Linked DNA regions of Danio rerio. The protein of the gene in region 1 purifies or fractionates together with the protein of each later gene. This does not show direct contact. Links are inferred from orthologs where the notes say so. Each region holds a gene or a part of one and is shown on either strand. Other genes may lie near its edges.

The links. Proteins that work in one complex are often made in the same cells at the same time.
Region 2: the proteins of cpsf6 (region 1) and rbbp6 purify together in Homo sapiens (affinity purification with mass spectrometry; 3 studies listed by BioGRID and IntAct, with this or other methods). This does not show direct contact. The link is inferred for Danio rerio from reciprocal best matches to the Homo sapiens genes CPSF6 and RBBP6.

The regions. Positions count from the first base shown.
Region 1 is NC_133179.1:2,380,951-2,384,610, forward strand, and holds part of cpsf6 (cleavage and polyadenylation specificity factor subunit 6), read right to left. Parts: intron 3,416-3,660; coding exon 3,242-3,415; intron 2,644-3,241; coding exon 2,160-2,643; intron 187-2,159; coding exon 71-186; intron 1-70. UniProt on the Homo sapiens protein: Component of the cleavage factor Im (CFIm) complex that functions as an activator of the pre-mRNA 3'-end cleavage and polyadenylation processing required for the maturation of pre-mRNA into functional mRNAs.
Region 2 is NC_133178.1:34,276,968-34,279,905, forward strand, and holds the end of rbbp6 (E3 ubiquitin-protein ligase RBBP6), read left to right. Parts: coding exon 1-290; intron 291-369; coding exon 370-1,810; 3' UTR 1,811-2,435; downstream 2,436-2,938. UniProt on the Homo sapiens protein: E3 ubiquitin-protein ligase which promotes ubiquitination of YBX1, leading to its degradation by the proteasome.

The sequences.
Region 1 (3,660 bases):
CAGAAACGGAAACGGTTAATTCACAACACACCACACCTCATATTTGTGCTGGGTGTAATGATCTCCACACCTGCACTGGCATCAGAAACGGCCCTTGAAATAGCGCTGCTGGAAATCGCTCTGTTCCGGTTCATGATCTCCTCAAACTCAGCTTCGCTCAGGGGAGTGCGAGACGCATCCATGTCCCTGAAGCACACAAAATGCTGATTAATGAACACGCGCAAACTAAAAGCACGAGTCAGAGCGAAGCGTAATGCTTCAGGGATCGAATTCACACAAAGAGCTGCAGTGGTCGTTAGTGCTGAATCACATTGCATCACATGTTAAATCAAAGTGAGGCACAGACATTTCAGCAACTAAAAACTAAAGCGACACCAAAATAAAAGGAAATACCATCCAAATGCAAGATAGACAGGTTTAAAAAAATAGTTACGTTTCACGTATGTTTTGTGGTATTTTTGTTGTTTTCTGCTTTGCGCTCTTCTCTCTCTCTCTCTCTCTCTCTCTCGCAGTGGTCCTATCCTGTTTCAGGTGTGCTACCATTGGTCGAGTGAGCTGTCATTCACCTTCGTCACTCAATCGGCGCTAATAAGGATTGGGTCCGCGCAGTATAAAACCGGTGCGCTTGCGCTGTTCTGGAGGAGCGCTTGGCCTGTCAATCTCTCAAACTGTTGACTTGTTTGTTCCGCTTGGTTTGTTTGCGAGTGCTGTGTTCTAGTTTTCTCTTTGTTGATATGGATTTATCAGTTAAACTTGTGCTGCTCAGGTTAATGTATAGTGAGAATATGAACGATCTTTATGAGAATTGGATTACCTGAGATCTTGTTTTGCTAATGGCTAACAGTCTGTACTTTACAAGAATTCTAGTATTTCGAGCAGCTTAGTATAACTTTGTATTAGTTCGTTTTTGGAGGCGTTGCCTCATGTGTAATTATGTTTGGGAGTTATGAAGTTTAGTTAAGCTACGTGCTGAAGATTACTGTTTTGTTTCTGCATTTTTCTTTGATCAGTCAGTTTAGTGGGTTGGGGTTTAGTTAGATCGTTTTGTTATATTTATTTCTTTGTTTTGGCAACACTCCTATTTTTCTTTATTTAATTCAATTATTTAAAATTACATTTATCTTCCATCTCATATTCATTGTTTGACATTATCCATTAATAAATACTTACTTTTTGTTTCACTTATCAAGCGTTTGTGTCTTCTCCTTATTCACCCAGCATCAATGGACTCACTGATTGTTACGTATCATCCTTTTAATTATTTAACATCATTAACACGTAACAATATATAAATACATTTAGGAGTTCACACTTAGACAATGCTTAACTATGATAGCAGGTTTGGCATGCTGTCCCAGGAGAGAACCTGAATCTCAAATCGAAGAGCACAAGGTTCCCGTTTGGTCAATGAGCATTAGTTTGGATAGGAGATCGGGTATTCTTCGAGAGCCCTCTCGTTTGTTTTATACTATGGTTAATATGGTGGTTCTGACTGATTCAGTATGTATGCGTTAAGTGCTTATGACTTTACAGTTCGCTTATGTACATGTTTTAAGACTGTTGGAGGAAACCGGAGTACCCGAGGAAAACATACGGGAACACAGGGTGAACATGCAAACTCATGGCAGAGAGTAACGACTGGCTCAATTAGAACTTGAACCTTTGGCCCTCCCACTGCGAGGCAGCAGCGCCAGCCATTGAGCCACCCTGTTGCCCTATCATATAATTAACGAGGAAGGAGAAGGGAAGGATAGAAGGGGGTTTGCCAAAAACGAAGACAGGGAACGGAGTTTAGGCAGGATATTCATAGTAGTTTTGGAATGATCTGATAGGCTAGCTAATGATCAGTGATGAGGATCAGCTCTAGTTGATCATATCACGTGCTCTTCTAGAAATTAGTTTGTGAAACTTCACTTATTTTTTAATATTTATAAAATGTTATCAAGTTATGGCTGTCAATATTAAAATGTAATGTGAAATGATTAAATTACATCTAAATGTGCTTCCAATGAAAAACAATTGAATGCATATTTGCAGTGTTATCTGTTGTAGTGAGCATGCCATCACAGCATACTATAGTAAGACTGTTCATTTAACTGTGCACATACACTTCGGGCTTTTTAGAGTATAGGTGTAGTTGTGGGCGATGTGTTTATTACCTGCCACCAGGGAAGTCTCTGTCATAAGGAGGTGGGCGGCCGTACGGGTCTCCAGGTGGGGGTCCTCTGCCGTCAGATGATGGCATGTTGTTTCCAGGTGGTGGGAAGAAGGCCGGGTTGACGTGAGGAGCCGGCGGTGGGCCTCCAGGTGGGGGTCCCTGCATGTGTGGTGGGGGTGCGAGGCCAAGCGGGGGTCCTAAGGGCCCAGGTGGACGGGGAGGGAAGGGTCCTGGAGGGGGTGGTCCCTGCTGAGGTGGAGGGGGGCCTGGGGGAGGCCCGTATCCTGGTGGGGGAGGCCCAGGAGGCATCGGGCCCATTGGGGGTTGCCCGAACTGACCAGGAAACAAGACAGGTGGAGGAGGACGGTCTCCTCTGTTAGGGGGTCCGCCGAGGGGAGGAGGCAGACCTTGTCCAGGTGGAGGGGGGCCTGGAGGTCCCAGGGGCCCAGGTGGGCCAGAGGGAAGACGTGGTGGGCCCTGCATACCTGCAAGAAGATTTGATGCATTACATTTTGAAGCAGAGAGGAGAAGGGATTACAAAAATACACATGAAATCAAAACTAACCGTATGATTTTGGGAGCTCACACTGCTAGTTTTGTGGTGAACATTAAACATCACCCATTCTTGATTTAGGACAATTGATCAACTTTTTCTGATTCACTTGAAAAGTGACCCATTCACCTCAGAGCATCAGTTTTCAGACCAAATATTGTTGCCAAATATTTGTTATTTCCTTATTAATTACTGATCTCATTTCATTCCTTCCCAAAGGTACTTTAACATCTACTTGATTTTTCTTCAATGATTCTTTTTGCCAATTTATCTGCCAATTTTATTTCCCATTATTCCAATATGTGCCGGTCCACAACAAAAATGTACATTTTTACCCTCTACTTTAAGTCTGTATAATGTTGTAGAAACTTGCATTATTAAATCTTCTCTATCAGTTGTTATAGATCCAACAACTGATAGAACAAATTACAGTCCTATTTGTTTCCTCCCATTGCAGACCTATAATAATAGCTGTTAGTTCTGATGTATATACTGACAATTCAAAAGTTCACTCCTGTTCAAGCTTATACCTGGGAAGTGTGGTGGAGGACCGCCAGGTCCAACCGGTCCAGGGAAGCGGTCTCCTTGTCCAGGTGGGCCAGGAAAGCGTCTCTGACCTTTGCCAGGAGGGAATCCTCCACCTCGAGATCCTGAGCCTGGAGGACCAGCCTTCCCCTCTCCTGACATCTGTCCTGACTGTGTGCCTGCGTGGACCAAAACACACTCTTCTAAACTGCAGCACACATACAGCAACGCTATTCTCATTCAGTAAGTTTAAAGTCCCCGTGAAATCAAAATTAACATTAGATGTTAGTTTTAAGGATATCTATAGTCTAGTGTGCTCCAAAACAGTGATAAAATTTACATTTACAAGATAAAAACATAAAAAGTTGCAGATTGTCACTTTATCTTAAATGGATTTTTTTTTTTATCAAATCTGCTGGCCAAT
Region 2 (2,938 bases), on another chromosome or scaffold:
GATGTGGTGAAGACCTCTCCCAAACCTAAACCCAAACTGGAGAGTGAAAGGCCAGTTGAGAAGGACAAACCAGCTATTCCCTCTCTTCTAGATATCAAGCCAGAGCCTGTAAGGAAAATTAAAATCAATAGGGAAATTGGCAAGAGAATATCTAGCACTGATCGACCAGTTTTAGCTGAGGACTCCGCTCATGGCCCTGGAAAGGGCAGGCTTGATAAGTCAAGAGGAAAACTGAGGAGGAAGGTACATGCTCCGGATGGATCAGGGTCTTTACTTGTCGATTATACCAGGTGAGAAGTATTAAATAGCTTTTTTTCCCATTTAATTTGAACATTAGCTTATTTATATTTGATTATTTGTATTTTGCAGCACCAGCTCTACAGGTGGAAGCCCCATCAGAAAGCATGAGGAGAAGATTGACTTAAAGAAGACTGTTGTGAAGACCCTGGAAGAATACACCAATGACAGCTCCACCCCTGCTGAGGATGAAATTGTAATGATACAAGTGCCCCGTTCTAAGTGGGAAAAGGAGGACTATGAATCTGAGGATGATGATTCTAAGGTTCTCAACAGGACGAGCAGTGCCGATACATCTGTCGCTGCTCCTTCAGTGGAGAACTCTGCTGTGAAATTATCTGACAAGGAGTCTCCCCATTCTGACAAAGCCCAATCTACCTTGAAAGAGGCTGATGTCAAACCTGCCAAAGACTCCACCTCAGGTGATAAGGAGAAAGATACTGACAAAGACAGAGAACGAGAAAGAACCAAAGAAAAAGATCGCAGCAGCACTACAGATCGTGAGTCAACTGATAAAAAGAAACCTAGTGTACCTAATCAGGAGAGCGCACATGCACAGGAGAAAGGCAGTGACCATGGCAGTGAGCGGAGCTCCTCTTCTCAGTCTTCTAGAGACAGGCAGGCTGATAAAGCTGAACCAAACTCTAGAAAGCCAACAGGTAGGGAGACGACTACAGGCCCCACCAGTAGGAAACCAGAGCATAGAGATGATACAAAAGACCACTTGGGTACAAGATCAAAAGATGAGAAAAATCCAATCAGGAGAATACCATCATCCCCACCATCAAGGGTGAAGGACTTGCACAAAGACTCTGGGAGAAAAAATCTTGAAGCACCTCAAGAGTCACAAAGTCCAAGTAGGACTAAGAGAGCACCAATTCAAAATACCTCTGAGCCAAAACGATCAGGTCCAGAGGACCACAGAGAGAGCCAGTCTTCTAGGCATTCTGAAGTGCGTCCCAGTAAAGACAAAGAGCACAGGACTCCACATATAACTTTGACTCCTGAGCCAAGGACTGATGCGGAGAAAAGTGCTCCACATGTAGACCATATCAAAATACCGTCTGCGCGCTTGACAAGACTCTCCTCAGATTTAGCACGGGAAACCGATGAGGCTGCGTTTGTCCCTGACTACAGTGAAAGTGACAGTGAGGCCTCGGACATTGAGAGCAAAACAGAGCAGAAAGGAAGAGAGCGGGACAGCAGTGGCAGCCATAGCCCGAGCCCGTCTGGAAGCCACGGACACAGCAGCAGCCCCAGCTCTCCAGGCAGCCAGGACAGCAAAAAGAAGAAAAGGGACAAAAAGGAGAAAAAGGAAAAGAAGAAACACAAAAAGCACAAAAAACACAAAAAGCATAAGAAACATACAAGTAATGAATCTGAATCAGAACTCAAGGGACAAAAACACAAACATAAAAAAAAGAAGTCGAAAAAGAGCAAGGACAAAGACAAAGATGACAAGGAAAAAGATGAAAATGGGAGAGATGAGCATAAGACAAAACTAACTGTTTAATTCATAGGTTTAACCGTTAATTTCACTTGATCATCTTAAAAAAACTGCTTAAGTACTGTTCAACTTTCATGAGAATTTGTTAACATGTTATTTTGTTGTTGTTGACCAAGCTAGCCTCTCCCGTCAATGGAAGAGAGTTCCTACTTGAGTGACAGGTTATTTTATTTTGGGTTCTGAATTTTCATGAATATTTTGGTTCTCATTTAAAATTGTTGCAGATTCTTTTTACATCATGGTTTTGCATTAAGGCTTTTGTAGAGGAAGCACTTTAGAAATGTGAATGTGATTGCAGATTTGCAAAATTTGCAGAGTTGCAAAAGCCCTTTTGTACCTCATCTCTTGTACAATTTGAGTTGGAGAGAAACATATCATTGACAGTATGAAAATATTGTTACCAAGGTAACGAGAGAGGGGTGTCCAAACGTTTTGGAACGCTGATTTACATATTGTGTTTTTGCACTGTGAATATTTCCTCTACTCTTTCATTTTATTCTTCACCCTCACAAGAGTAATTTAAATTATCTGCTGAAATGGAATTGCATATGTTTTGAGGACAATAAATTTTTCAGCAAATATAAATTCTCATGTTGTTTTTCATGCCTTAATAAAGACTGTTTCAAATTGACTCATTCTTTTTAATATTTTTTTTAATGTAGACATTGTGATCACTCCAGTAATGCAAATTGGGAATTGTTAAGCTTACGCCAATACTTGAAATGTCAGGAATTAAGCAAATTAAGAAATAGGTTTGTTTAAAATGACTGATTTCTTTCATTTTAGCATAATTTTTAGATCTTTTTCAAGATACTAGTTCTCAAAGACCTGGCTAGGTTAATTGGGATAGTTAGTAATTAAGCAAATCATTGTATAACAATAGTTTGCTCTGTAGACAGTCAGATTTTGTTTTAATTCTAGCTGAAATAAAACTATTAAGACTGTCCAGAAGAAAAAATATATATAGGAAGTACTTTTAAAAAGTAATTGCTGTGATAAACATCCCTTGGGAAATTTTTATACAGCAAAAAATAATTCAGAGGAGGGCTAATTATTTTGATTTTAACTGTAAAAAAGTCTGTCATGTTTTATAAATTTTACAAAGAGAAATAATTTTTTTACAAGCCATCAGTT